2 linked regions of the Rattus norvegicus genome follow. The protein of the gene in region 1 binds, or shares a complex with, the protein of each later gene. Links are inferred from orthologs where the notes say so. Each region holds a gene or a part of one and is shown on either strand. Other genes may lie near its edges.

Region 1 (15,473 bases):
GGACCTGACACAAACACGGCATCGCTCTTTCCTTTATTAGGATAGAAGACCTTCAGAAGAACAGGCAGTACCATCTCGTTAGACAATTTTATTTATATAAGCATTATGCGCTGTGCAGAGGTGTGGCACGGAATCCATGGGGGGAGGTCGGAGAACAGCTCTGTGGAGTTCTCTCCTTCCACCATGGGTTTCAGAGATGGAGCTGAAGGGAGGCTTGTGAGGCGGCCTGCTGAGCCACCCGACTGTCCCTCACCACTGTTTTTTCCTTTCTCTGACGTCCCCAGATCGAACCCAGAGCCTCACACTTGCAAGGCAAGTTCTCTCTCAACCAAGTGGCAACCCAACCCCGGTCTGCTAATAGAAAAGCATTTGGCAAAGCAGAGTTCAGAGAGGACGAAAGGAGCCAGCTGTGGTGACGCATGCTGGCATCCAGCTCTTGGGAGGCAGAGGCAGGAGGATAACTGCAAGTTGAAGGCCATCTGGTGTACAAAGCAAGACCTTGCTTCAAAACAAAACAAAACAAAAACAAAAACCAAAAAACAAAACACCCGAAAGCCAGAACAGCAGATGTGCACACAGGTCACAAGACGACCGTATCAAAAACGAGACCAGGATGGGTCTAATGCCCCGAAGAGAAAGAACCAGAAAACGAGGAAGAATAGGAATGGCAGGAGTCAAAGGCTACCAGTAGCCTAGAGGATTGGACTGAGAAGGCATTGACTCAGTCTGCTGAAATCCAAAGCTGAGGAGAACAGAAAGGGCAGTCGTGACCCCAAGAGGGTTGACAGCAGAAATGGAGGACATGGATTAAAGGCCTTCGTGAGGTTGGAGGGGTGGCAGGTGCGAGAGGAGGTCTCGGGGGACAAGGTGCTGAGTTGTGGCTTCTCCTAGAATCCCAACTACAGATTAGCCCAGTGCGTTGAAATCCTCTCTGGGGTGGGTGGGAAATGAGACCATCACAGTATCTAGGCAAAGCTATTTCTTTCTCTCCTCCCCCCCCACCCCTCACCCCCCAAGACAGGATCTCATGTAACCCAGGATGGTTGCAAACTCACTACGAGCTTTGAACTCCCAATTTTCCTGTCTCTATCTACTGAGTGCTGGGAATTACAGGTATGTTTGCTTCATTCATTCATTCATTCATTCATTCATTCATTCGGGGACCAGATGGCGCCCTGCCAATACTGGGATGGGAGACAAGAATGAGTCAGTAACCTCCTGGACCCACTAGACAGCATCACACCAGAAAGACAAAAAGGTGAAGAATCCTCCATTTACGGAAGCAGAGTGTGCATAGGAAACTCGAGACACTTGCCAGGAAGGTGGCTCTTAGTATCACATGTACATCTGGGCTGTGCTGGAGGGCAGCAGGCCAGCCATCGACAGTCCCCCAGGTTGGCTCTCTAGGCACTTTTGCTTGGCAATGCTCCCTGGCAGGTCTCGGTGCACTGATTAACAAACATTACAGTGTGTGCCCACCGTGGGTACGGGCTCAGCGTTCTCTCAGCACAGCAGCCTTGAGGTAGATACAAGAAGTACGGCCATTTCTGGGATGACGGAAGCTAAGAATCTAGGAGGACTTGCCACTGTCAGGTCTCAACCCTCTCTCACAAGCAGCAGGAAGCCCCATTCCAGACAGAGGACTCTCAGCCTCCCAGATGTTCTTAAACACATCTCAGTAGAGCCTCTTCCTAAGCCCAGCTAGCTCTCGGCTCTGCAAAGGGCAATGTCTCTCTTGCCCCTGGCAAAGAAAGACTAGACCAACGACAGACACTGCACAAGAGAGCGCTTTGTTTCTTGTGGGTCTAGAAGCCCTGCGAATGACCCTAAGCTTCTGTGACCAGAGGCCAAGGTAGGGTTAGAATTCCCCCAAGCAGGTAAGACAGACCCTGCCTTTCCAGGGCCTAGGGCAACCTGCAAGGGCAGAGCTGGGTCAGACCTGGGGCAGCTTCAACTTTCCTATGGGTAGACGAGAAACCTCAGCTTCTCACCAAAATCTCAGACCCAAACCTGGCCTGATGGGTAGGAGGTGCTGACCTCAATGATTATTAAAGATGGCCTCCTGCAGTGAGAGACTCTTAGAGGGACCCCCTCATCTAGCTGTGAGTGAACTGAACCTGCCTCGTTCGAACAAACAAAGTGCCTCAAACAAGCAAGGCCCTTTGAGGGGAACGTGAGACTCTAGGGTCTTGTTTATCTGCACACAGAATCCCGCATCCGCTGTAACCTCTAAAAACATCAAACCATCGGGCTGCAGAATGAACTCCCTTCACACACTGAGTTGGAACCTGTCGTTGAGCACCTCCTAGGAAAGTATTTGTCACTGTGGTGTTTTAAAGATACCTCATCACATCCAGTGTCCTTCCTCACCCCCAAACACAGAAGCAGCCTGTCCTTAATTATCTCACCCAAAAACTACAAAGAACCAGGGACTCAGAACTGCTAAGTCCCTAAGGGACCGCAGTCGTCCCCTACCACAGTCCCCATGACTCGTTTTTCTAGCCATTCTGGTCCAACTACTCTGCACAGTAATCAGGACCCCTCAAGGTGCAGACAAGAAGTGCCCCATGATTCAATGGGGTTTGCCGATGTCCTCAATAAAGGTGACCTTCATTGACATGGAGGAAAGGGATACTAGCCTCTCAACACGGCCCATGCCCAAACCAACTATCAAATGATTCCAGAGCCCACCCTAACCATAGCTAAACCCACAGGAGACAAGTGTTCCTGCCCCTCCCTGAGTTTGGTCAAGAAGTGCCCTTCCCCGCCACCCCACACTCTGCAAAAGGACCCCCATCTCCACGGCAGCTGGAAAACAAATGCCCACTCCAGCATATGGGGCGGAGTGGACCCCCAGGTGTACGGTCAAAAGTGGTTCATTATCTAAAGAGTTGAGCCAGCCTGAATTTTCCAGGCAGCCTCACTGCAAATCGATGTTCCCCAGCAGGCTGTGCCCAAAGGGGGCTGGCAAGGTTAGGATGGTATAGGAGATGGACAAAGGTCATAGGCCAGGGCGGGGCAAGGCAAGGCAGGACCATCGGGCAGGCTTACGAAGCCCGCCACAGTATGAGTTCTGTGATTTCTGCCCTGCTCCCCAACCTCATGGGTATCCCATAGTAGGCTGTACCCGGGCTAACGTACACGAACGTAGCCTTGCCTACTTGGTAAAGTCCAGCAAAGAAAGGGTTCAGGAGATAGGCCGCAACATTCCAGGGGAAGATCTGCCCTGCATGAGTGTGCCCGGAAAGGATCAAGTTTATATCTGGCCGAGCCTGGAGGGCTCTCTTGGCAGCCAGAGGCTGATGAGCCAGTAAGATGGTGGCATGTTCTGGGCTGCAGCCTTCCAGAGCCTTGTCAAGGTCCATGCCGTGCCCAGAGTAGTGAAGGATGTCTGCTTCTATGTCATCCACACCTGCCAAACAGACCCATTCTCTCTCTCCCCCTCCACTGTCCGGGTCCCCCGAGGCAGAAGAAATCTTGACATTCTCATTATGTAGGGGCCGGACGTGCAAGGATTCCAGCAGTGTGAACCAGTTGCTGACGTCCGACGTATAGTACTCGTGATTACCCGTGACGAAGTAGTTGCCGAGACGGGAACGGAGCTGACCCAAAGGAGCGACCGCCGTCCGCAGGATAGAGGCTTCTGAATCGGAGAGGTCGCCCACGATCACCGTGATATCTGGCTCTAGCCTGTTCACCATCCTCACAAACATCTCCATCTTGGTCCTGCCCACCGTGGGCCCCAAGTGAATGTCCGAAAGGAGGGCGATCTTGAGGTTATTCATCGAAGGGGGCAGCTGGTGGATGGGCACCTCCACGGTTTTCACCAACGGGGGTTGGGCAGCATTCAGGAGGCCAATGGTACTGAGCACAGCCGTCACGGCCACCGCCAGCGCAGGCCTGAGCACCAGGTGCCTTGTCTTGTTAGGGCTGCCCACCACCCTACCACTGCGCCAGGCTAAGAACTGGTAGGCCTGCTCCATGGCATTCAAGATGCAGAGGAAGAATACCATGATGATGTAGGCGCCCAGGCAGGAGTAGGCTGCTAAGGAAAACAGGTAGGGTTCCTCAGCCACCAAGAAGAGCATGGTAAAGAAGCTGGAATGTGCCAGGGCCAGAAATGTCATGACAACCAGCTTCCAAAGCTGGAAACAGGTAGACTCCACAGCAGGGGGATGGCTGAGGTTGCTCACTGTACTCCGCCAGATGTACGAGGAACCAATGAGCAGAATCGAGTTCACGAACAGGGCCAGCTGCAGACGGAACAGCCAGCGCCAGGCCTGGAGCTCAAGGGCCTCCGCCAGGAAGGAGCGGGAGAGGATCATGGACACGAAGACTGTGGCTGCAGCCAGGGCAGCCTTGGAGCCCAGGGACAGCTGCCTGAAGAGCGCCATTCTCCCAGCGCCTGAGGAGTCCCCCAAAGCTCAGTGCTGGAAGACTCTGGGAGGCAAGTAACTTCCTGAGAAAGGACTGTGGCCAGTGAGAGACTTCCAGGTCAGCTCCGCCTGCAACCAGGAACTGGCATCAGCTTTATGGGATAGACCATCAGAGCATTCTTGTCCCCACTCGACCAAAGCCCAAAGACCACAGGCCACAGACATGGCTCCAACCTGCCTCAAATCCAAGCCACTCAAACACCAGTGAGCCACCAGGCTTCCTTATTGAAACACACCGCAATCATGACGTGAAACACGAGGGCGGTTTTCTTTTCCTTTTGTGACAGGTCTCGGGTAGTCCAAGCTGGCCTTGGATTCACAGTGTGACCAAGGATACCCTGAACTTCCAACCCTCCTGCCTTCACCAAACAGGTGCTGGGATTCCAGGCTTTACCATGCAGCTCTATGTGAGGATGGGCCCCTAGGTTCCATGCATGCTAGGCAGGCGTTCTACCAACCAAACCACATCTCCTGCTTCAGTTTCCACTGTTGTCTTAGTGTTTCAGCCGGTTAAAGGGTCCCCACAATGAATGGACATGAAACATTCTCTCTCTCTCTCTCTCTCTCTCTCTCTCTCTCTCTCTCTCTCTATATATATATATATATATATATATATATATATATATATATATATATATATATATGCAGAGTTTCTCTGTGTAGCCCTGGCTGTCCTAGAACTTGCTCTATAGACCAGACTGGCCTCCAACTCACAGAGATCCCCCTGCCTCTGCTTCTCTGAGTGCTGGGATTAAAAGCGTGGGCCAGCTGCCCCACCTCCCCAGGCTGTTTTCTTTATTTCTTTTTAAAGATTTATTCGTGTGCCTACAACACTCTGCCTGCGTGTATCCTGCAGGCCAGAAGAGGGCACCAGATCTCATTATAGATGGCTGCGAGCCACCATGTGGTTGCTGGGAATTGAACCCAGGACCTCTGGAGGAGCAGACAGCGCTCTTAACCTCTGAACCATCTCTCCGGCCCATTCTGTTTTTTAATAGGAAAATTACTATTTCAAATGATCCGCTGTTAGCGTGTCACCTGGGGGAAGTCTCACACGGGAGTCGTGACAATGGCAAAGCATCACTGCGAATGTCCTTACATGGAAACATAACATGTGAAACATTTTCACACTTCCAGTGAGTGCATAATACAGTTTTTCAAAGACACCAAAACCTGAGTTGACTGCAGACCGAAAACAGCAATGTAAGACTCTGATTTCTACGCCTGGGGACATAGCTCAGTTTGTAGGGCGCCTAGCATGAACAAAGCCCGGGTTCCACCCTCATCACCACAGAAACAGGGCACGGTGGTGCATGCCGGTACTCCCAGCATGCGAGAGGTGAAGGCAGGCTCGTCAGAAGTCCAAGGCTATGTCCGACTACATAATAGCAAGTTTGAGGCCAGCCCAGACTTCGTGAGAGCCTGTCATTAAAAAGCAAAGAATAGGTCTTCTCAGGCTGGAGAGATGGCTCAGCGGTTAAGAGCACTGACTGCTCTTCCCAAGGTCCTGAGTTCAAGTCCCAGCAACCACATGGTGGCTCACAACCATCTGTAATAAGATCTGATGCCCTCTTCCGGTGTGTCTGAAGACAATGTCAGTGTACTCATATGCATAAAAGTAAATAAAACTTAAAAAAAAAAATCAATCGGCCCTTCTCTTAAAGTAACTACAGTTCTAGCCAAAAACTGAGAGACCCTTCTTCATATAAGTGTACTGCTTGTTAATGTCCAATTGGTTTACTACTTCTTAAGGCAGGAGGATCTCTGACTTCCAGGCCAGGCTGCTCTACGGAGTGAGTCCCAGTTCGACCAGAGCTTCAAAGAGAAAGCCTGTCTTGAGAAAGCAAAAGCAGGGGGTTGGGGATTTAGCTCAGTGGTAGAGCGCTTGCCTAGCAAGCTCAAGGCCCTGGGTTCGGTCCCCAGCTCTGAAAAAAAAAAAAAAAAACAAAAAACAAAAGCAGAAGAAAAAAAAAAAAACAGACACATTTTAATTTTTAATCTAGCTCTGAAGTTTGAGAGTTAATGTTGCAAACAAACAAGGATAACAGAAAGCTAGTCGACTGGAATTTTTCGTTGGCTCTAATCTAAATGCTCAGGAGAGAGATCCATCTAAGATTTCCCGAGGATCATGCAGCAGCCTCTCTGGGTGGCGCTCTCCCAGGGCACCTCCTACTTCTTATCTGATGACTAACATCAAACCGGTGACCTCCATAAAACCTTATCACTTCTGCTCATCCTGACACTGAAGATTTATGGGTTCCTTTCTGCCCTCTCTACCCTACCTGTTGGAACCTCTGCCCACTGGTACTCAGGACGTCAAGCTCTGATGAAGCCGGCTGCACTCGATTTTCCTTTTCCTTAAATGAAAGCATTTTCAGCAACTGTTTTTCCAGAAACTTCAAAAAGTTTCAACTCTGGTTTCAGATAAACGTGTATCATTTCCAAGAGTGTAGTTTTTACACGTCTACCAGGCTCAAAGTCTACTAGCAGGTACTTGAACTTACCGCCCCCCCCCCCACTCAGTCCATCGGGGGCCTCAAGCTGACTCGCTCAAAGTGCAAAAGAGTAGGAGCCGCGTTCCACCACGCCCTGTCCTATTCGCAGGTTCCGTGCGGGCCTCCCCAGGTGCGTGTCCCACGCGCCTCAGCCACTGCCCTGCCACCCAGACCTCGCCCGCTGCAGTTTGCCTCTTTCCACCCTCGACCCGCACTGCCAAACCCTAAGAGGAAAAGGCTTCCAACAAGGCGATGCACACCTCAAACTAAAAGCTGCCAGCAGGTGGCTTAGCGAGAAACGTGAACAGTACGCTTGAAAAGGGAGAAGTCTCGGAAAGCAAATGTTCCGGTGACCCCACTGCAGGAGCCTCTCCTGACCCCATTTTTCTCCTTCCGGAGCGCTCTGTGAAGCCCGAACTCTGCAAGGATCGCGTCCCACGTCACTGCCCGCGGAGCCCTCTCGCAGCCACCAGCCTGGAGCCCCTCTCCCCAGAAACCGAAGCTGGAAAGACTCAGGCGCACCTCAGCTAGCCCCCGACCGCGATGCGCAAACCGGGAAGCAGGTCGGTCCGCAGGGGACAGCCGCAGCGGAACCCACGCGCGCCAGCAACCAGGAAGGACGCGCGCCCCGCCCGTCCGGCCCGCCCCTACGGGAGGCCCGGCCACTGCCTGCGCCTCGGCAGCCTGCGTGCTCCGAGGGGAGATGGAGGGTAACCCCGATCCCCACTTTGCAGAGCCGCGGCTTTCCTCGGCCTCTGCCCGCTTCCCAGCGGCGGAGCGTCCCCGCGCGGTGGCACCGGAGACTTACATAGAAACTGTGCGCAGCGCCCAGCAACTGCAGGAGCGCCAGGAGCGGGAGCAGCATACACAGGGGGACCCGGAACATGACGGCGCCGCGATGGGACCGCTCCACTCTGCAGTGGGCGCTCTGGCCAGCCGCTCCACCTCCGGGGGTTACTGAGGACCCTTTGCCAGGACCCGCCCAGGAGGACCCGCCCCCAGCTCCGCCCCACCCCGAGGCTCTAGGCTGGGAGCGAAGGTCCAGCCTCTGCAGGCCACGTGACTCCGGAGCCGCTGTGGTCTAAGCATCCGCGAGTCCCCCCGGAAGGGCGGATCTTCAGAATGAACTGTGGTGAAGCTCAGGGGCTGGCCAGCCACAGGGGCCTTCAGGCTGTCCTGGCTGCCAAAAACGAACTGAGCAGGGAAAAGGAAAACAGCCAGTCCTCAGTGCTCCGGGGAGTAGTCCTAGCCCCTAAAACTCTCCCTAGCACGTGGTCTAACACAAGGTGAGGTCCACCGGCCAGGCGACTTAAACCTGGAAATGCAGACTCAGCATCCCAGCCCTGAACCCAGCTCCAAGTTTCAGTGCAAGCAAAGTTAGAGAAGCACTGTGTTAGGTTATAGAGAAATTCCAACTGTGACTGAGCTATGGCCAAGTTATTTTAAACTGCCCTGAATTTTAATGAGAGTAATGGCACTTCTGTCAGTCAACTTCTTGTTCTTCCTGCCTACTGCCTTCTGGACGCTGAATTATAGTCATGGGCCACCACCTCTGCTTAAGTCGAGGTTGGTTTAAATATAGGTAAGTTTTTTTCCAGCGTTAGTGAATTGCAACCAATAACAATATTTATTTATTTTAGACATTGTCTCGTTGTATTTATTTATTTCACTTATCTTTGCCGTGCTCCGTGTGAGTCTCAGGTCCTCATTAATCTAGGCGAATACTCTACCATTGGGCCATACCCCTTTCTTTTCTGTTTTTCTGAGACTGCTTCTCACTGTTTATCCTTGACTAACCGGACAGGACAGGACAGGACAGAACACACACACACACACACACACACGCGTGCACACACACAGGAACATATATACACGACATAATATACAAATACATATCCTAAGTAAAAAGCAGGATCTCGAGTGGAACAGGCTGGGTGGCTGTCTTAGTTCTGTAAAACAGGGCCTTTATTATGCATCTCTGACCATCCTAGTCCACTCTCAGTCTGTTTTGATGAATAGAAAGTGTGTGTCGTTAAATTATGTTACGGCCAGACTAACTCCCTCACCAGATTTTATCACCAGATTCTAAATGATCTCCTGTCTTTTTCTCACCTGGGTCTCTGCTTTGTCCATGACGTTTAGTTCTGTCCTTGGTGGTCTAGGCCACCGTGTGGCAACTTACACTTGTAATCATTAAGGCTCCAGAGGCTGAAGCAGGAGGATTGCCACAAAAAAGAGGGTAGCCTGGGCTACATGTCGCTCTAGGTAGACATCTGTAGGCATCGTGTCTCTTAGTAATTTTCCACACATTACTTCTCCCGCCCCCGAGCTCCCCCCCACCACTGTCCACATGCTCATAATTGTATACTCTGCTTAGGGCCCAGACAGATCTCTCTCTCCTACTGCAATGGTGTCAAACCCTATTTCAGTAGTTGAATACAGTCTTCAAGATATAATGTGAGAGAATGAGTTTTTCTCGGGGCCAGGGAGATGGTGCAGAGGATTAAAGCCGTTGCTGTGTTGGGGTTGGGGATTTAGCTCAGTGGTAGAGCGCTTGCCTAGGAAGCGCAAGGCCCTGGGTTCGATCCCCAGCTCCGAAAAAAAAGAACCAAAAAAAAAAAAAAAAGCCGTTGCTGTGAAAGCCTGTTGTCCCATGAAAAGAAAAGGTTCTATCCAAGTCCAGCTTGGCAAGGTTTGAGTGTCCTGGGGTTAATTACTGGGTGACTGAAAAGCAGCTGCCCTGGAGCAAGTGCCACCCACACATAGAGAAGGACCGTGTCGCTGAGTCCTGACCCCCCAGGTCAACCTTCTACTTCCTACAGTGTCAGCATTCTACAAGCCCACTCTCAATCTGGTGACCCTTTCATTGACATGTGACCGTCACCATTACACCTACCTGGCTGCTTTGTTTTGTTCTATGGCTGCCAGACTCAGGTACTGTGTGGTCCCCTCAACAACGACTTCCGCTTCCTGATGGTGACCATGTCTTTCAAACGTTCGAAAAGGAAATAGTGACACCAGAATGTTCCACTCCTTCCCCCAACGTCTTTCGTCTTTCTACCACCTCATCGGCCATGTTTGATGGGGGGATGTAAGTATGACTCCGTTCTGCGCACTGGGACACTATGCCCAAACGTCAGCTCCCTATTCCCACGGTCATTCGTCGCCACAGTAACCTCCACCCACACACCAGAAAAGAGTTAACCTGGACCTCAGCTGAAAACTAGCCAGCCACGGGACTTTGCCCTGATGTACAGTACCAAACATGAATTTCCACTTCTGGAGTGGGCCTTACATCGCTTACGTCGAATCAGAAAGTAGTTGGTTGTACCCATAACTGTCATGCCTACCTAGAATGTCATGTCAACCTAGAATGACTATTGCCCACATGTTGGTGTCTTAGTCAGGGTTCTCTAGAGTCACAGATCTTATGGGTAGTCTCTATATAGTAAGGGAATTACTTACAGTCTGTAGTCCAGGGATCTAGCGGTGGCCCAGTCCCACAAGGCAGGCAGGCAAAAGAGAGAGACTCTGACTGACTTCTTCCAATGTCCTTACGTAAGTCTCCAGCAGAAGGTGTGTTCCAGATTAAAGGTATATACCACCATGCCAGGATCTGGGGCTTGCTTTGTCCCAGGCTAATCTTGAACTTAGAGATCTCCTTGCCTTTAGCTCCTGGGGGATTTATAGCCACTTTGCCTCAAGATCTCCATACCAAGATCCAGGTATCAGAAATTTGTATCTCCCAGCCTCAAGATCAGGATTGCGGGTGAGCCTTCCAATTCTGGATCATAGTTCATTCCAGATACAGTCAAGTTGACAACCAGGAATAGCCACCACATTTGCTAATGGGATATGTGGATCCAGAGGGGAACAGGGCTGACAGCAACAATTCTTAGCAGCTTGTGCAGTGCTGTGGTATTATTTATCCCAGCTGTATTAGTCAGGGTTCTCCAGAGTCACAGAATTTATGGGATGTCTATTTTGAGGGAATTTAATGTGATGACTTAGTCTGTAGTCCAACTCCCCAACAGTGGTCAGCTGTGGATGGGAAGTCCCACGAGGCTGGCTGTTTCAGCTGGTCTTCTGTAGAAGTAGGCTCCGACAGACGTGCTGGCGAGTAAATGCAAGTGGAGAACAGTGAATCTTCCTTCTCCCAAAGTCCTTGTGCAGGCCTCCAGCAGAAGGTGTGGCCCAGATTAAAGATGTGTCTGGATCTGGGACTTACTTTATCTCAGACTGACCTTGAACTCAGAGATCTCCTTGCCTTAGTCTCCTGGGGATTAAAGGCGTGTACTATCTTAGGCGTGGCCTACGGTTTTCATGGCCACTGTGCCTCAAGATCTCCATGCTAAGATCCAGGTCAGAAACTGTTTTCCAGCCTCAAGATCTGGATCACAGGTGAGCCCTTCAATTCTGGACTATAGTTCATTCCAGATACATTCAAGTTGACAACCAGGAATAGCCACTTCACCCGCCATCAGGAAGAAAGCCTCCAGCCCTGATGTCTCTGTGCCCTGTAACCAGAGGGTATCGTGTTCTGGCAATAACAATTTGTCATTCCAGTTCTGGTGTGCAGCCATCAACAACGGTAATAGCATTTACTATAGGTTCTCAGGGACCTTCTTAGCCAGCCAAGTACTCCTCCCTCGTAACTGGCGTTCTCACCTTATATCCCTGTGGCTTCTGGGAGTGTCTTTCTTACTTTAAAAAAATTATTTTACGCAAGGCCCTGGGTTCGGTCCCCAGCTCCGAAAAAAAGAACCAAAAAAAAAAAAAATTATTTTACTTTATGTGTATGGGTGTTTTGCCTGCATGCATGTCTGTGTGTGCCTGGTGCCTGCAGAGGCCAGGAGAAGGTGTCAGATCCCCTGGAACTGGAGTTACAGAACCTCCATGGAGTTCCTGGGACTAGAACCTTGGTCTTCCGGGAGAGCAGCCAGAACTTTCAACTGCTGAGCTGTCGCTCCAACCCCCTTTCCTCACAGAAAAAATGGTTGCATTTGCACACGCACGTGTCTCTGTGTGTGTGTTGAGTGTGTGTGTGTGTGTGTGTGTGTGTGTGGTTCCATACATGCCAAAGCACACATTCAAAGGTCAGACGACAACTTAGAGTAATGTGTCCTCTTCTTCTACTGTGTAGGTCACAGAGATCAAACCCAGGTTGTCAGTATGTTGGCAAGAACTTTACCCAATGAACCATCTTACTGGCTCTGTTTTTAATTTTATATATATATATATATATATATATGTTTATATATAAAATTATATATATGTTTATATATAAAATTATATATATGTTTATATATAAAATTATATATATATATATATATATATATATATATATATCCACTAACCCATCTCTCTGGCCACCGCCTGGCTGATTTTTAACTCTCCTTTGTCTGTTCTTCTGTTTGTTTGTTTGTTTGTTTGTTTGAGATAGGGTCTCACTGTGTAGTCCTGGCTGGCCTGAAACTCACTATGTACACCAGGTTGGCCTGGAACTCACAGAGATCCGCCTGCCTCCCGAGTGCTGAGATTAAAGAGTGTGCCGTCTGGGCTGGCTGATTGTTAACTTTAACTATTTTCTTTTAGATGTCTTTCTAGACTGTTTTTTAAAACTAAGGGTAGACTCCTGAGGCCCTGTCTTTGTTCAAGCCAGTATGGAGTGTTCTTGGGATTCAGTAGATGAAAGGATTTCTAAAAGAATATACTAGCAAGGTCCAAGACAATATGAAGAGATCCCACTGCATTGATTCTGTCAAAAGGGCAGTGCTAGGTAAGGTGGCTCTGGTGGGGCACCCACCGCCTTATGTAGCTCCCTGCTGTCTGTAGCCATTCATCATGGGCTGCCTGCCTGGCCTCTCCCTCTCCATTCACCATGCTCCGCATTGCCGTGGCTGGCCGGCCTCTCTGTTCACCACACTGACATTTTCAAGGGCTTTGGTCTAGATATGAATGCTCTCTCCTCACAGGCTCTCATTTCCTGAGCTGCACAGGATTGGGTAAAATTCGGTAATGGTGGGATGCAGGGTATGGTCAGCAGGAGACTCACCCTGACCCTGTTTCTTGTAATGAAGGATTGCATCCACCGTACAGGGAGAGATGGTGCTAAGGGACCAGCCCTAGGACAAGCATGGCTTTCACCATCTGTATCGTCCTCCCCCCCACATCCCTCCACTGCTGGTGCTTTGTGGGTACTGTGAGTTAAGGTACACCTTGCTCCAATACTGACTGAAGTTCCAGCATTCTGTATATCATTAGAAGGAGGGCCAATAAATCTGAAATTCAGTGTGGAGCCACTGTTGACCCTGGAATCGGCTTCATACGAATCTGGCCGCATTTGTTTGGGAGTGACCCTAGCAGGTCTCTGGCCCCACTCTGATTGCTTTTAAGCTTTACGAACTGGATTTGCTTCCTGGTCCAAGTTTTTCAGAGCTGCCGAAGACTCATCTATCCAATACATGCAAGTACAATGCAGCTGTCTTCACACACACCAGAAGAGGGCATCAGATCTCATTACAGATGGTCGTGAGCCACCATGTGGCTGCTGGGAATTGAACTCAGGATCTCTGGAAGAGCAGTCGGTGATCTTAACTGATGAACCATCTCTCCAGCCCAAGCCTTTCTTATCTAGTAAAGATAAAGCCTTATCCAGTAAAGATTAGGTTCCACTATAAGTCTAGGCAAAGCCCACTGAATTCATTTTTCTGTTAGCATTTTGTCTAGGCTCCGCCCCTCAGTTACCTGGCAACAGTCAGGTCGCCTGACTCACTATAAAAGGGGTTGGCTTGGCTCCTCTTAGCTCTCTTGTGTTCTTGCTCTCCTACTTCCCTTATTTCCTGGTTCCCCTACTTCCCCTATTTTCCCGTTCCCCTCCCCCACCCTTCACGTGCTAAAGACCGTGCTCTACTCCTTTGCTCTCTCTCCCTGCCTTTCTCTGTCTCTACTACCCTCTCACCTCCCCTCCCCACTCCCTGAATAAACTCTACTCTATAACCTACGGATGTGTGGCTGGTCCCTCAGGTGGAAGGGATGCCTTAGCATGGGCCCGCAGAGGCACACCCTTCCCTCACACCTTACAGCGCCTCCACCAAACACATTCCTTCTCTATTTTTATAAAACACACACCCCCTTTCATCTTTTTTTCCCCTAATTTTATTCTTATCTTATGTGTTTAGGTGCATGTATGTCTGTGTACCGTGGTGTGCAGTGCCCTTGGGGGCCAGCAGAGGGCACTGGGTCCACTGGAACTGGAGTTGGAAATAGCGTAAGCCGCCATGTGGGTGCTGGGAATCGATTCAGATCCAGTGCTCTGGGAATCAATCCAGATCCAGTGCCCTTCTCCAACTCTCGTGTTTCCTGTTTAGATAGGCTCTTACTATTAGACCAGGCTGGACATGTGACTGCTTCCTGGCTTCCTTACAGTATTGATCCACATGACACCTATCTGTGAACTGGCTGCAATTTAGTCTGCCAGCCATTTGGGGGCATCTGTGTAGAGCCGCTTGCTTGCTTAAGCCCTCAGGCTTAGTCACAAAAGTGAAGGGAGAGTGGTCCCTGAACCGGAAGAAGGGGACTTCTCTTTGACTGAGAGATGATCGGTGTCTCTAGGTTATATGTTATGTTAACCCAGCATGCATCATTCCATGATTCTGCTATAGTCACATGAAGTTATGAGTCTCACATACACTACCCCTTAGGTAGTTTGTGATGTCCCAAAGGTCACCTTGGGACAGTCATTTTCTTTATTGCACATGTGTGTGGAATACCCTACTGGTTTTACTTATCTTTTTTTCCTCACAAAATCTAAAGCTTCCGTTTTACCAATTGTTATGAAATATAATGGGTCAAGGGGGTGCGGGGGGGGCATGCCGAGGTATGTCCCTGAGTAACTCTGCCTTGTAACAGATCTGGTATAAAGGGGGTTTACTGGGGGCCTGGAGAAGGGTCAGAGGCAGCAGGTGATGATGTAAGCTAGGTCACTGGGCGGAGCCTAATGGAACCGCATGGAAGCTAACACGGATAAAGACTCTGGAGCCAGATGCTGGCATTAAAGTGTGCTAGGACTGAGCTACACCACAACTAAAAACAGGTTTTTCCAATGAACACGGTCTCGGGGTTCGCAGTGTGGTCAAACATCCTGCAACATTATCCCTGTTTTATGTAAATAAGAAAGAAAGGTTTTAATTCTAACGCAGCAAAACCGTTTACAATGACGAAGCTGTTTCTGCCGGGCTTTCCACGGTGTGCGGCTTGGCTGTGTTTGGCAACTTAATTACAATTATCTTTGAAAAGCAGTTTTAATGTCCTGAGCAGTTTCTAGCCCGAAGCTGCTCTTTGGGTGGTGTTTGCAAGCTTAGTGGCAATCCTGACTAGGTAGAACCCAGCAGTCAACCCAAAGATGTCCTCCGTGTGCAGAACCTGGTGACAGAAGCCTGGAGCGTCCTGCTCAGTGGTTAGCGTTGCCACAATCCACGTGGACTCATCCTTGCTGGGTCCCATCATCTTCTCAGAGACCTCAAAGGTTATTAGGGATGGT
Region 2 (15,698 bases), on another chromosome or scaffold:
TGTCCCACCCTGGGATGGGATCAATAAAGTGAATGTTGTCTCCCCGTGCTTGTCCTGTTGTCTGTTTAATGGATGTCCTTTTGTGGTGTGAAAGGAGGAGCCTTGGCACAGTGGTGCCACCTGAGATGTTGACTGTTTCTGGTTTACCTGCCAGGGTTTGCAGGCCTGGTTCTGCCTTTACTGGCACTGAGGCTCCAGGAAGCGCCCTAGGCTTCAGCTTCTCTGTAGAGTGGGCTTTCCCACAGGGTTGGCTGGAGTGAAGAACAAGTCTGTTGACTCAGCCAAGTGTCCATCATTCGTCTACAGTGCCATCTCCCCTCAGCAAACTGGGACACAAGGCAAGAGGAAAATCCACATTGTCTAGGACTTTAGACAGAAAATTTTCTCTACTCTCCCAACAGGGCTTCCTAGGTAGGTACCTTATCTGCTCAGATCTGTGGTGGCACGAAGAACTTCCTGCAGAGTGGTCCTAACCCAGCCGTGCAGTCTGTCAGGGTGGCTCAGTTACCCACACCCTCTTCCCATCGCAGCCAGAGAGAGCCATTCCCAACCTCATCTGCCCAAAAACCATACGGAGAAGCCGCCCTGTGTCTCATGCTATTTCATCTGACTACAAGCAGGAGCCCCTCCTGGATCTCACTAAAGGCATCTGTCCAGAAGCCATGTGGGCATGCGCCTGCTCCCACTGCATCCCCTCCACAGCCCCCTCTGGCTCTGGATGGGCCATCATGAAGGCTTGAGCTGCCCGGATCAGGTCCTCTTCCCGCAGGCCTGGCACAGGCACAGTAGGTATACCAGCGATCATCATGGCCAGGGTAAGGATGCAGATGTCAGGTTGGGAGCTGGCCTCCTTCCCCACTGCCTCGGAGGATATTGGCAGAACCCCAGGTGACAGCCCACACAGCAGCAGGGGCCGGGGCCTGCTAGGGCCACTCAGATAGGGAGGAGCTCTGCTTCTGGAGCAGGGGTCTGCCCAGCCCAAGCTCTCCAGCTGCCTCACAGGGGGCAATTTGGGGCAGTATCGGTTGTGTTCCTTTCTCCGAGGTGTCTCCCAGCTAACACCCCCAGGGCAGCCCCTGGCTTCAGGCACTGCCAAGGTGGGACCCCAGGCCTGGGCAGCAGGTGCCACCTGCTCAGCTTTCTGGCTCAGTGGGCCTAATCCACCAGGTGCCACCAGCACTGGCTCTGCAGGACTATAGAGGCCAAGGGACGAACCCGAAGAAGCAGCCCCACCTGCAGAGACAAGAATGAAATGGAATGTTATTCTTGGTCTCTTGGAGGAAGAGGCCCTGAGGGGCAGGGCCTGGGACCAGAGGCAATCGGAACAAGCCCAAGAGGACAGTCTGAGGCTGGGAATGTAAGCAATTACTCATCTCCATAACTCCAGCCAGTCCTGATACTGCAGGTGCTGGGGAAGTGTTTAAGTGAGCGGGTGCATAATTAGCAATTGGCAAGGCCTTTTGGATATAATTTCCAGAGGATTGATTCCAGGGTCAGCCTAAAAGCTTTCAGGAGAAGCTCCACTTCCCCCAAAGCCAGGAAGCAACTTCACGTGGGAAGCTCTGTTGTCTCCCCAACCCCCAGTTTCAGGAACCCCTCTCACCTTGGCCAGAAGGCAGAAGACCCAGATGAGTTTGTGGAGAGGTGAAGTAGGACATGGCTGCCCCAGAGTCCCTGTTTGTGAGGGAATAGTCCTATTCCTCCTGCCCTCGTCTCCAGTTTTCTACAGTGTCACCTCATAGTCGCCTTTACACCCGGACCCTACCTCACAATACTAACCTGTTCATTATGGAACGTACATGTCACAATGGGAAGGGATTAAATGGGCACTGGCCCTGGATCAGGAAGTTCCAGCTTTTGTCAGTATCTTGGTCAGCATCCACCTGGACAGGTAGTTTTTTGTCTTGCATTTCTCTGGTGCTGGGGCTAGAACCCGGGACTTTGCCGGTCTGAGGAGCGAACTACTTCAGAACGACATTCTCACTGTGCGTGTTTTGTTTTTTGTTGTGCCAGGGTTTGTTTGATTGCTTGGTTTTGTTTGTTGAGACAGGATCAAACTACTTAGCCCCGGCTGACCCGGAAAGCCCTGTGGTCTACTTCCTGTTCCAGACCTGTCTCCTACTTGCTGGGCTTACAAGTCAGGAACCACCATGCCCAGCCTGTGTTTGCTTTTGTGTGGCTGGCCTCAAACCCCTGATCTTCCTGTCTCAGCTTTCTAGGTGTTGGGAATATAGGTGTGGTGTCACCACACCTTGCTCCACCTAGACAGTTTTGTTCCTCAGTATCTTCATCTGCAAAATGGGAGCGACATTGCCCCCTGACTCCCCAGGAGTTGTGATGGTGAGGTGAGATGCCCGAGGCGGCCAGCAACCACCCATACAGAGAAATGAGTCCAGGGCTTTTGTGTCTTGTGTCAAGGTAGTGAATCACTTGCTACCACAGAAACCAAGCGTGGGACACAGGCCTGCAACCCAGCACTCATGTGGTAGAGGCAGGAGGATCAGAAATGCAAGCTCACCCACCATTTTATATGAAGCAAGTCTGAGGGCAAACCGGGGTACAGGTGACCCTGGGTTTTGTTTGTTTGCTTTTGTTAGTTTTTTAAATCACCTGCTGGAGCCAGGCATGGTGGCTCTCACACCTTTAATGGCAGTGCTTGGGAGGCAGAGGCAGGCGGATCTCTTGAATCTGAGGCCAGCCTGATCTACAGGCTGAATTCCCTATCTTCAAGTAAATAAAATAAAATATTCATTTGCTATTTGTTTTTAGACAAATATATTCTCATCTTTTGGCCTCTGAAAAAATGTTTGGTCCAGGTCACTGGTGGTCAGCACAGGCTCTAGGACATTTCGAATAACATTAGGGCCCCTCTCCATCTTAGATCAGCTAATAGAATCCCAGGGGCAGACTTATGTGTCAATATTTCTAACTTCTTAAAGACATTATAGTCAGGCCTGATGCAACAGGCAGAATCCAGCTGCCTGGGAAGCCGAGGCAGAAGGGCCCCAGGTTTAAGGCCAGTGCAAGCAACTTAAACTTTGTCCTAAAGGATAAACAACAAGAGGGCTGGCAGCTGGACAAGGTGGCGAACACCTTAATCCCAGGATTCAGGAGGTAGGGACAGGCAGATCTTTGTGAGTGACATGCCAGCCAGGGCTACATATTGAGACCCTGTCCTTAAAGGGGAGGGGGTTGGGGATAGGCCAGGGCCTGTGGTTTGGTGGTACAACGCTCGCCTTGCAAACACAGGGCACTAAACTCAGTCCCTAGTACTGTAAAAGGCAGAAGGAAGCCAGAAATAGTAGACTATGCCTGTAATCTCCTGTTGAGATCAAATTACCACAGTTCAGGATCATCCTGTGTCTCAAACCAAAAACAAAACAATGAAAAATTACCATCTTTTTCCAAGCTGCAACCCCTGATCTAGGACATGCTTCTCCACTCTGACCATGCATTAGAATCTCTGAAGGGGCTTTTACAAAAAAAAAAAAAAAAAACAGTGTCAAGTCAGCCATGGAGGCTCACGCCTATAATCTCAGAATACGGTTGGCAAGACCTTGTCTAGAACAAAACAAAAATCCATGATGACTGGGCTCAATTCCCTGACAAACCGCACACCAAAGGAGAATATTGAGGGGAGGAGGTAAGGACAGAGAGGGAGAGCGGGAGGGGGAGTGGGAGAGGAGGAAGAGGGGAGAGGGGGGAGGGAGAGAGAGGCAGGCACATTGGCACTCATCAAGTGTCCCAGATAATTCAAAGGAGTGTGCGCACTAGGAGGCCCTGATCTAGACAGGTTCTAAAATACTTTCTCTGACAGGGCATCTCTACATGCGCCTCTCATAAGGCTGCAGAGGCAAGGAGACCCTCCAATGCTCAGAACTCCAACATAAATAAGCTCTCTTTATTTCTGGCCCTGATTGTGTGCCGCCGTGTGACCAGCTTCAGACCAGCCACTGCTCTGGCGGCAGGACGCACGACGGCCGCTTTGCTCTGGTGGCCACAGACAGGCCTTCATTCATACTTGCAGAAATCCTTCAGTCCTGTGGGCAGGCGCAGCCCATCAATGGCCAGCCTGTGTACCACACTCCTCTGGATCACAAGACGGCACAGTGTCTGCAGAGACGGCACTGTGGAGAGATGACTGTCAAAGGCAAAGGGGTCTGGGGGAGGTAACACTGGAACTGAGATCTACGTCTGGGTTTTCATTTGCCGTCAACTTGGGAATTACCTTCTGCTCTCAGGCTCGGCCTGCCTGGCGGGGCTGCTTGTATAGCTGACATAGCACCTCTTTCCGAGGACTTTGATCAGACCCTCTGCCATTATAACACAGCCTAACCCTCCTCCCTTAACCCAGCAGCTTTGTCTGTTCCGTCTATGCAACCACAGCACGGTAACAGCAGATTCCAGCTCAACGGATTCATGACACATGACCAGAGATATAGGTGAAAGGTCCATTGAGCTACAGTGAGCCAGACCTCTGATTTTAAAAGTTGTCCATCTGAGTTTCAGGAGAGCCAAGGCTACTCAGAGAAACCCTGTCTCAAAAAGAAAAAAAAAAAAAAGTTCTCAATCTGGAGTTTGCGATGGCTCCAAACCCATAGGCCTAAATCTCAGAAGAATATTTTCCTAATAAAAACACACAACTCATAGCGGAATGTGGTGACTCAAGGCTAATCCCAACCCTCTTCAGGCTGAGGCAGAAAGGATTGTCAAAAGTAGGAAGCTGGCCTGGGCTACTTACTGAATTCCAGAGGAGCCTTGTCTCCCGAGTGAATTGTTCTCAGAAGACCAAAAGTAAATGCGTCAAGTTCTCAAGAAGTCTCGGATCAAAAATTGGTTTTGGCTGGGGCTGGAGAGATGGCTCAGAGGTTAAGAGCACTGACTGCTCTTCCAGAGGTCCTGAGTTCAATTCCCAGCAACCACATGGTGGCTCACAATCAGGTCTGGTGCCCTCTTCTGGCCTGCAGGTGCATACATGCAGGCAGAAAGCTGTATGATGTATACATAATAAATAAATAAATGTTTTAAAAAAATTTAAAAAATTGGTTTTGGAATCCCTATCAAGCTGGGGTGTGCAGTGCCTGCCTAGTACCGATGAGACCCTGACTTGGTTGCTAGGACAAAATTTAAAAAACACAGACGCCCTTACCCTATTATTGAAACATCATTCAAACCAAAAGAACCTGCAGGGTGTCTCAGTCAACCAGCTGAGGTGAGGACACCAAGGCCGGCCCACAGCCAAGGTGTGATGTGTGCAAACTCACAAGCCCGAGGTGAGGCCAAAACTACGGCTGGACAGTCCAAGGCCCTGCTAGCTGGCTGTGGGGGTCCTAGCCGGTGCCTGTCTCCACCCTGAACCAGAAGAAGGTCCCTCCCGGGGTGGGATACCTACAGCCATACTCCAGTTGGACCAGGCGCACACTCTTGGTGGAGGCAAACACATCTACCACAGCGTAGAGGGGCTGAGCAGCTGGCAGTCCCCGGGCGCTGGGACCCATGTCCTCTCCGTTGATGATGATGTGCATGTCAGCGGTCCCATCCTCACGGGGGCAGAAGAGAACACCCAGGCGGCTACGGCGCGCAGTGGGAGGCAGCACGTTTTGTTCATAGAGCTGATCTAAGAGGTGACTATAAAGCCCTGGGCGGCTGCGGCCCACCAGACGGTCCCGGGGAATTCGGAACTGCTGGATGCGCAAATAGGGTTCGACGAGTAGGGTTTGGGGACCGCTGGGGACCGCTGCCTCTGCTTCTGTTTGACCTTCCCGGGGCACACGGTTGTGGTGGCGCGTGATAGCGAAGACCCAGCTGTGGCCAAGGCTGACCAAGTCAGGCAGTGAAAACTCGGGTACAGAAGCCAGACTGGCCGGGTCCAGAGCGGTCAGGCCAAGACGTAGATGCCCGCACCAGCCCAGCTCTTTTTCCTCTATCTCCACTAGAAATACCTGACCGGGGGCCAGGGGCTCGCGACTGAAGCACACACCGTGGGCGAAACTCTCCACGCGTGTGGCTCGCGTCCCCGACGGGTCCATCCGGATGTTGGCTCCGTGCACTTGGTGGAAGCGGGTGGGAGGGGGCTCCGGGCACGCAGGGCTCCGTGGTCCACCCAATCCTACAGGTTTGGAGGGAGCAGCCATCTCCACGCCATTAAGCAGGCCAGCTCATGCCAAGGGCTATTTTGGGCGGCGGGCTCAGATGGTGACTGCGGGGGGACCATGTAAGGCATTTCCCCCTTGTCTAACTTTCCCCGGCTCTGCCCGGGGGTCCTAGCGCCGTTTCTCGGCATATCACCAGTAAGGGGTCCCCACGAGCCTGAGGAACTTTGCTGTCAACACCAAAATCATCTGATTTCTGGCACCCTGACTGTGCACTTTGGGCTGTGCACTTTGACCTGGTAATTGACCGCCCCCGACCCTCAGATAAAAAAAGTGAACGCTGAGCAAGCTGTCACGTGCTGCAGAAGCTCACGTGACCAGAACTACACATGACTTCCAGTCCAAAGGCGGCTCCAGGAGAGCAAGGACACAAGGAAGCAGAGGTACGGAGATGCCCGGACTGGTGGGCAGCGATCGTGTCTCTGTGGCCGGGAGTTGGACCGGGGTGGGGCCTTCCCCCGGAGATGTGCGCCATCTCCCCAGGAACCGCAGCACCGAAGCGCAAAGGATCTGGGGAACTGGTAAACATCCTCCACCGATGCTTCCTTCCGCAGATGCCCCGAGCAGCACTGTCTCCACTGCTCCTGCTGCTGCTCCTATCCTGGGCGTCCCGGGACGAAGCAGCTCCGGACCAGGATGAAATCGATTGCCTCCCGGGCCTGGCCAAGCAGCCCTCTTTCCGGCAGTACTCCGGCTATCTCAAAGCATCGGATTCCAAGCACTTCCACTACTGGTGATCCGCCCTAGCTCCCCAGGAGGGCATGATAACTGGGCAGACGAATTCTAACGACCCCTGGCAGGACTGGGCCTCTTACTTGTACCAATCCCGCCCTGTGCCTTTCCTAGGTTTGTGGAATCGCAGAACGACCCTAAGAACAGCCCCGTGGTGCTTTGGCTCAATGGGGGTCCTGGCTGCAGCTCCCTAGATGGGTTACTTACAGAGCACGGTCCCTTCCTGGTGAGTTGACCACTGCCCCTCTCCCCTGTGAGGGAGAACTGGGAAGAGGCAGCTCCTCAAGGAAAAGGCAGGAAAGGGGAGGGGAGAAGGAAACTGTGTCCTAAGTTTGCTTTCCTTCTTAACAATTCTGTTTTGTTTTATCTGACCCTTGGCCTAACTTTCTGTACCTCTGTTGGAGTGTGACAATATATAAAGCACGGTGGCCCTTTCTCTCCACCCAGCTATTCACTGGGACTCACAGGGGCTATTTCTTTCCTCCCCAGATCCAGCCAGATGGTGTCACCCTGGAGTACAACCCCTATTCTTGGAACCTGGTACGCTTGGAGCTGTGGGTCTTGTAAGGGTGTCTGGGTACTCGAAGGGGTGTGGAACCCTCTTCCACTCATTCCCTCCTCCCCCTAGATTGCCAACATGCTGTATATCGAGTCCCCAGCTGGGGTGGGCTTCTCCTACTCGGATGACAAGATGTATGTGACCAATGACACAGAGGTGAGTCTGTTGCCTGACCACCTGCCCCATTCCCCATTTCTCCCCAAGATGGCTTGATTGGGGGAGAGCATGACCTCAGAGTCCACTTTTGGCCCTGTCACGTGCTCTGTGGTAAGCTCATAACCAATTTACTTCCTCTTGCACAAAATAAAATGAGTTGGACTCCTTATCTCTGCGCAGCTTTCTAGCTTAAATGTCACCTGACTCCTCCATGTCATCCTCAGGTGGCTGAGAACAATTATCAAGCCCTTAAAGACTTCTACCACCTCTTTCCGGAGTACAAGGACAACAAACTTTTCCTGACCGGAGAGAGCTATGCTGGCATCTACATCCCCACCTTGGCTGTACTGGTCATGCAGGATCCCAGCATGAACCTTCAGGTGAAGGGAGGCACCATGATGGTGTGACCTAGGATTAGAAAGGTCAGCTTAGCCGCTCGTTCACAGCCTACTAACTGGCCACTGGCTACTCCAACAGCTCGAATGCCTCCTACTACAGGAAGCTAACCTGTCAGGCTGCCACTTCTGTTCTCTAGACTGAATGACCTCACCCACACCCACAAGCCACTCTGGATTTCAGCTTCTAGATTGCAGGTCTGAGTGTAGGTCAAGGGAGGGTCCCCTTGCTCTCGCCCTTGGGATGAGCTGAGCCCTCTGGGTGTTTCACAGGGGCTGGCTGTGGGCAATGGACTCTCCTCCTATGAGCAGAATGACAACTCCCTGGTCTACTTTGCCTACTACCATGGTCTTCTGGGGAACAGGTAATGGGAGAGGGACAGTTGGGCAACGTCTAAGGTGGGGCAGGTCATGCCATCTCAGACCTGTCCTTCAGCCCATGCTATTCCTGCTTTGGTTTATAAGCAGGTAGGGGCTGGAGTTGGCCAAAGGGTTTGATGGCCAAGAATAAAGACTAGGATTTAAAGAAACTAAAAGGGGCTGGAGAGATGGCTCAGTGGTTATGAGCACTGACTGCTCTTCCAGAGGTCCTGAGTTCAAATCCCAGCAACCACATGGTGGCTCACAACCATCTGTAATGGGATCTGATGTCCTCTTCTGGTGTGTCTGAAGACAGCAACAGTGTACTTATAAGAAATAACTAAAGAAGCTAGACATGGTGACCACACTTGGAACCAGGCAGAAGAATCATGACTTTTAGGCCAGCCTGTGCTACATAGTAAGTTTAAGATTGAGCCCAGGCTACATAGAAAAACCTCTCAAAAACATTTTTTTTCTTCTTTTTAAAAAGGCGCCAGTTTTGGGGTGAGCTTGGGGCTACTTTTATGGACTAGGGGACAAATCCTTGGAAATTAGGTTTGGTAGCCTACACGTCTTTCCTCTCCGCCACCAGAGTCAGGGTCTGATGGGAGCGGGGAGGGAGGTTATTGTATCTCCTAGCATCTCTGCTCAGCCTCAGCTCTCTCTGATCCGCAGGCTTTGGACTTCACTCCAGACCCACTGCTGTTCTCAGAACAAGTGTAACTTCTATGACAACAAAGATCCAGATTGTGTAAACAATGTGAGCCTCTGCCCTGGTCTTTGTGCCAGCCCTTCCACCCCAGTCCCGAGAAATGGATCACACAAACCTCTCTTTGGGAACCTAGCTCTCTAGCTCCGTGGCTTCCCTTTGTGGCCGTTCTGGGGATTGAACATGGGAGCATGCATGGGGAGCCTCATGCATGCAAGACAAGCACTCTGCCGACTCACCCCCTCGGCTTTCTGTCCCAAATCTATCCAATACTGTGGTCTCCTCTGGGAAGTCCAGGGAGGAAACTGAAGCCAAGGATGCTTAAGCCACTTGGCAGAGAGTAGAGTTAGGACTGGGCCCAGATCTGGAAGATTCCTTCCAATGAGCCTTCTACCTGTGAAAAAAGTAGGTAAAGGGCGGTGTCGGGAGGGAGATGAGGTAGGTAGGAGATCACTTAATCCTGAGGGTGAGTAGGGAAGGTCCTGAAGGGATATGGATCTGAATAACAGGACTACCGTCTTCACAGCTCCAGGAAGTGTCTCGAATTGTGGGCAAATCTGGCCTCAACATATACAATCTCTACGCCCCGTGTGCTGGTGGGGTACCCGGCCGTGATAGGTAAGTGCTGCTGGGTGTGCCTTGGACCATATCTACTGCCTCTAGAGGCCCAGCACCCATCCTATAATTTTTCTTCGTCTGTCTGTCTGTCTATCTCCGACAGGTCTGAGGACACACTTGTAGTCCAGGATTTTGGCAATATCTTCACTCGCTTGCCACTCAAGAGGAGATTTCCTGAGGTATGCAAGGGTGTGGGCTCTCCCTGGGGGAGTAGGTGGGTTAAATAATTAAGGACGGTCACCCCATGTCCATGCCCTCAGGCTCTACTGCTTCGGTCTGGGGACAAGGTACGCTTGGATCCTCCATGCACCAACACCACAGCCCCCTCCACCTACCTCAACAACCCATATGTTCGGAAGGCTCTCCACATCCCGGAGTCGCTGCCCCGCTGGGACATGTGCAAGTGAGCTTCTGTGACTGCTCGTGGTGTAGGAGGTGGCCATCAGCTGGGTTCGCAGGGGTCCTGTTACTAGGGCTTCTCCAAGAGGGGGTGGTGTGGACATTTAGATGAAAATTGGGGTGAAAATTAGTTGATAACTAGTTATCTCTGACATTTAATGAGTAGACACTGTCCTGACTACAGCTCTGTTGCCACCTGGAGCTGCCCAGTTCATCCTTGAGCCCCTTTAAATAAAAAGGTCACCCTAGCTCATCGGAGCCCAGTTAAATGTTTCGTGATGGGCTGGTGCCCTTTCTCCGTTCCCGTCATTACAGTCACACCCGACGGTGCCTACACACCAAACACCAGTTGTATCTCAATCATTGTAACAGCCGAAAACTATGCCCACACATCGCCAGCTCCCGTTCAGATAAGCAAGTCCTAGAGAACTGATATACCGAAGCTGGGAATCGGGAATGTCTGACTGTCCTGTCGACTGTCCTGCTCAGTTCCCCGTTTTGTCCTTTTTCCCTGCATCCTACGCGCATGCTTCCGACAGCCTCATGGTGAACTTACAGTACCGCCGTCTCTACGAAAGCATGAACTCCCAGTACCTGAAGTTGCTCAGCTCACAGGTAAACGTCCACGGCACAGCAGGACCCACCCACCTCCAGCCGGTGTAGCTGTAGGCTCTAGAGTAACAATGCATCGAGTGGGGCATCTCGGTAGCGCTTGCAGCCACGCCCTGGTTGTTTTATGTTATTGTTATTCTGAGACTTGTCTTGCTCTGTAGCCCAGGCTGGCTTTGAACTCATAACAATCTTATCTCGATGTATGCCTACCTACGTCTGGCTCTGGGAAGAGTTCCTAGCTATGGTTTTCCCTCTGTAAAAGGAGGCTAATGAGCGAGCCACAATGAGTCTTCAGAGTAAGCTCAGCCCTGGGGAGATGGAGAGACCTTAGGTCTAAGCCAGTCTGGGCTCCACAATAAGACTGTCTTATATGGGGCATAGTAACTTCCCCCCTATTTATTAAAGCATCTGGTAGGTGCATATTGGACGTGTAGCATACAGCATGAGAATTTCAGGTTTCTGTTCTTAGTTGGGCTTCTGAATCCCTGGGGCTTGAACCAGAGAAGGGCTAGAGAGCCTGGGCCTAGCCCACACTCCTGTTTTCCCATTGTCCTACTCCAGAAATACCAGATCCTGCTTTACAATGGCGATGTGGACATGGCCTGCAACTTCATGGGGGATGAGTGGTTTGTGGATTCCCTCAACCAGAAGGTAAAGTGCTGTTGGGGTAGCTGGGCTGGTGTGCTGGGAGAGGGCGAACCTGGAGAGGAGTCTCCAGTCTCAAAAGCAGCTTTGAGCAAAGATGGTGGGAGCCACTGGCTATCGTCTTTCCCGGTGGGATAGATGGAGGTGCAGCGCCGGCCCTGGCTAGTGGACTACGGGGAGAGTGGAGAGCAGGTAGCTGGCTTTGTGAAGGAATGCTCACACATTACCTTCCTCACCATCAAGGTAGGACTCTGAGGGACAGCTGGGGCCAGAGGGGGGAGTGGCATGACCTCCCAGTCCTCACTCATTCTGGGTCACCTGTGATTCGTCGGGCGAGCGTGTGGGGTGAAGAGAGGAAGGGGTGAAGGAAGTGCCCGGAAGTGAGGGGTAATCATGTTGGGGATCCAAATCTCATCAAGCTTTGCCCTCCAGGGTGCCGGACACATGGTCCCCACGGACAAGCCTCGAGCTGCTTTTACCATGTTCTCTCGATTCCTGAACAAGGAGCCTTACTGATAGCTTCGAGGACCCATGGAAGTCCTCAGCACCTGATCAGACCCTCAAAGCCTCTCTCGATGTCGAGGACTCCTCCTTTATGCAAAGTGCTCCCGTGGGGCAAGTCCTGCTTTAAAAATGCCCAGGCTTCCTACAGCCCTGTGCATCCCAGCCTGGGCCTTGGGGCTTCACAGACAGTCTGGGACCAAATGAACACTTTGTTCTGGCTTTGATAGGATGGCTTTCCCTGGTCTGCATAAAAAATGCCCCATCCCAGGACCCCAACAGAGCTCTAGAGAAGCCCAAGGAGAGGGTTGGATGGATTGTAATTGATGGTTGACTGATTATGGAATTAAATCGGGTATAGCTTCCAGCTGGGCTCTTCTCTGTGGCACTGGGACCACTAGGCTGATGGCAAGGGGTGGGCAGGAGGTGCTGAGAAGCCTCAGTTCAGTTCCTGAATGCCAGCTGCCCAGGAGGGGCGGGCGAAGGGCTCAGGCAGCTGCAGCAGAGGGTGGAGGGACACTGGAGTCCACAGTGTCAGCGCCGCCGGCAGAACGGTTCTTGTCAATCACTTCTCGAAGTCCTTTGGCAAAGTGGAGGTCAGCCCCAACAGTGACGAAGCCCTGGGAGGGGACAGGGAGGCTCACTGATCAGTTCAGTTTGGAGACATCGTCCAAACAAACGCAGGACTCTGGAGCAAATCTCCTCAGGGGCCCCAGCTCCCTGACAGTGTAAGTCCTTTACTACTTAAAAAAAAAGGAGGGAGTAGCTAGTGTTAGGGGGTTTAGAGGAAGCAGATAGCACTGGGGTGTTGTAGGGACAGGAAGCCCCTGGTCTACATCCTCCTTTCCACAATGTACTTACTGCATGGTTGGTCACCACCTCATGCACGAAGTTGATACCCTCAGGGAGGGGGATCTGCACCCCACGCCAGATACGCTCTGTAGATGGAAGAGGCAAGCTCAGCCTGGGCGTCTATCAGTCCGTCGGCGTCATCGTGTCCACTACCCCATAACCCCCCACACACCCTTCCACCCCTGTTATTCCCTGTCCCCACTCCTTCCTCCCACCCTCAGCCCCTACCATTCAACAAAGGCATCACTCCGATTTGCAGCAGCGTCTTCAGTGGGGCCTGCAGTGGGATCAGCTGAGGGAAAAGGGACACAGACAGCGCATGCACATACAGGTTTGTGTGAGCGGCCCTCTTGCAAAACCTGGACCCACCCAATGCCATCCCCAACTCACTGCCAGAGACTCCAGCGCAGACTGATTGGAGTAAATTTGAAACCTGTGGGACAGAAATGCAACATGAAACCTTGGGACACCCTTTCCTTGAGCCCTACGTAAAAGTTGGCCCAGAGTGACAGCTTTCCCAGTCCCACCCAATCATCCTTCCAGGTAGCTGCCATTTTCCAGGTGTGCATCCCTGAGTGACCCTCTTGTCTCTGGAGCCCCTTTCTTTAAGCCTGCTGATTTTCATTAGTTAGGAATGCCTGTGTGCCATGCCTCTGTGGCTAGGTCAACAAGTACAGTTTGTTTTATCCAACAAAATTCAATAATCTTTACTCCCTGTCAGATACCAAGCTTATTAAAAAAAAAAAATCAAAATAGCACTGGTAAAATGGCTCAGTTTGGAGGGTAACTGGCCTGACTACCTAAGTTTGATCCCTAGGGCACACATGGTAGAGGAGAGAACCATGTTGACTTTTGACCATCATGTGCTCTGTGTGACATGTGAGTACCCTGACACATAAATGCATATACACCTAGACGCACACATACACAAGTTAATTTCTTTGAGTTTGAGCTCAGCCCGGTCTACAGAGTGAGATTTTTGTCTCAGAGGGGGTTTGAAGAGGGACACAGTATTGAAGAAATGGCTCCACAGGTCAAGAGGGTTGGCTGCTCCTCCAGACAATTGGAATCCAGTTCCCACGTCTGGTAGCTCGCATGGCTTCTAACTCTAGCTTCAGGACATCTGCAGCCCATTTCTGACCTCTTCAGGCTCTATCCATGCATGGCACACACACATAACACACCACACATACACACACCATACATACACACCACATACAAACACACCACACAGACCATACATACACACACACCATACATACATACCACATACATACTCACCACATACAAACACACCACACACACCATACATACACACCACACACCATACATACACATTCCACACACACCATACATACACATTCCACACACACCATACATACATACCACATACATACATACCACATACAAACACACCACACAGACCATACATACACACCATACACCATACATACACACCACACACACACCATACATACACATTCCACACACACACCACATACAAACACACCACAGACCATACATACACACCACACACCATACATACACACCACACACACACACAACATACATACACACCCCACACACACACCATACATACACACCACACAGACTATACATAACACACACACACACACATCAAACAGGGGATAGGAGGAAGATGGTTTAGCAACTAAGCACTCATATTCCTCCAGGGGACCATCACCTATGACACACAACCTACGACAACATGAAACTCTAGCTCCAGAAGGCACTACTTCTGGCCTCTGAGCATCTGCACTCACACGCACATAACCACATACAAACCTGAGAGCTGCCGTGGTGGCACATACCTTTAACCCCAACATCCTGCCTTTAACCTCTGCACTCAGGAGGTAGAGACAGGCAGATCTCTGTGAGTTCCAGGCTAGCCTGGTCTGCATAATAAGATCCTGTCTCATTAAAAAAAAAAAAAAAAAAAAAAAGCAGGAAGTGTCGTCTCATGCCTTCAATTCCAGCACCCAGGAGACAGGCAGGTGGACCTCTCAGTTTGAGGCCTGCCTGGTCTACAGAGTGGGTTCCAGGACAGCTGGGGCTACACGGAGAAACCTTAGCTTAAAAAACAACAAAATAAAACAAAAGAACAAAAAGCAAAGAAAAAGGGGAAGCTGAAATGCTGAGGACATCAAGCATGTACAAAACCTTGGCTCCATTCCCAGGGCCATATAAATATACACTGTGAGTGTGCGTGCGTGTGCATGTGCGTGTGTGTGTGTGTACCTATGTGTGCGCGCCTGCACAAAAGGTACACTGTGGGAGGAGGGGGAGTAAATTTGGGCATATGGAGGATGGGTCACACCATCCAACCATGTTTTGAAACAGAATCTCTTACTGGTCCAAGGCTCCAGCGTTTGGCTAAGCTGACTGGGGAGTGAGCCCCAGGGACCTTGTCTCCTTCCCAGTGCTGGAATCCCAAGCCATAGTCTCTACGCTCAGTTTTTAAAATGGGTTTTAGGGCTCAAACTCATACCCTCATCCCTAAATTCATTCAAATCAGCTAACTTTCTAGTCCTTGGGTTTTTTTGTTTGTTTGTTTGTTTTGTTTTGTTTTGTTTTGTTTTGGAGTTAATGGTGTTTGCTTGAAACAGTGTCTTGCTACGCCTAGTGACTGAGACCTGAGAATCTGGGACTATTAGAAACTGTTACTGATGAGGGAAACAGAAGCTGGTTAAGTAAATAGCCTGAAGTGACATGGCTGTGTGGACTAGACCCTGCCTCTAGCTTCCCAGCTGCAACCCAGCTTTGTCTCACTTTGAAGCAGCTTCTGTATCTACACTGTCTACTGTGTAGCCACTAGTTAACCCTGGCTTCTGCAGCCTAACCTAACTGCTGTTGACTTATAATTACACAAATGTAGCCAGTCGCATATGACCCGGGTGATGACATTAAATACCCAGCCCTAGAAAGTACGAGGTAATTTCACCTGTATTTAGCACAGGAGGAAATGAACCTTAGAAAGATACAATGAC

What was found.
Region 2: the proteins of Glb1 (region 1) and Ctsa are in contact, whole or in part, in a cryo-EM structure (PDB 7KDV), measured with the Mus musculus proteins. The link is inferred for Rattus norvegicus from reciprocal best matches to the Homo sapiens genes GLB1 and CTSA. Residues at the interface, in NP_033882.1 of Mus musculus: Tyr198, Asp199, Arg202, His206, Leu229, Thr233, Leu234, Gln235, Asp236, Leu237, Lys258, Phe259, Glu260; in NP_001033581.1 of Mus musculus: Glu29, Asp31, Ala37, Lys38, Gln39, Pro40, Ser41, Phe42, Arg43, Tyr107.

The regions. Positions count from the first base shown.
Region 1 is NC_086026.1:122,956,138-122,971,610, reverse strand, and holds the start of Glb1 (beta-galactosidase precursor), read right to left. Parts: upstream 7,894-15,473; 5' UTR 7,818-7,893; coding exon 7,740-7,817; intron 4,506-7,739; exon of another isoform or gene 4,395-4,505; coding exon of another isoform or gene 3,048-4,394; exon of another isoform or gene 17-3,047; intron 1-16. Other genes in the region: Tmppe (transmembrane protein with metallophosphoesterase domain), read right to left, coding at 3,048-4,394.
Region 2 is NC_086021.1:173,982,116-173,997,813, forward strand, and holds Ctsa (lysosomal protective protein precursor), read left to right. Parts: upstream 1-6,327; 5' UTR 6,328-6,481; coding exon 6,482-6,535; exon of another isoform or gene 6,536-6,602; intron 6,603-6,706; coding exon 6,707-6,885; intron 6,886-6,998; coding exon 6,999-7,110; intron 7,111-7,373; coding exon 7,374-7,424; intron 7,425-7,512; coding exon 7,513-7,599; intron 7,600-7,823; coding exon 7,824-7,979; intron 7,980-8,267; coding exon 8,268-8,359; intron 8,360-9,029; coding exon 9,030-9,114; intron 9,115-9,589; coding exon 9,590-9,681; intron 9,682-9,784; coding exon 9,785-9,860; intron 9,861-9,941; coding exon 9,942-10,084; intron 10,085-10,619; coding exon 10,620-10,695; intron 10,696-11,253; coding exon 11,254-11,343; intron 11,344-11,475; coding exon 11,476-11,580; intron 11,581-11,769; coding exon 11,770-11,853; 3' UTR 11,854-12,205; downstream 12,206-15,698. Other genes in the region: Spata25 (spermatogenesis-associated protein 25), read right to left, coding at 611-1,233, 1,604-1,658; Neurl2 (neuralized-like protein 2), read right to left, coding at 4,781-4,989, 5,393-6,134; Pltp (phospholipid transfer protein precursor), read right to left, coding at 12,327-12,458, 12,700-12,776, 12,919-12,982, 13,081-13,123. UniProt on the Homo sapiens protein: Protective protein appears to be essential for both the activity of beta-galactosidase and neuraminidase, it associates with these enzymes and exerts a protective function necessary for their stability and activity.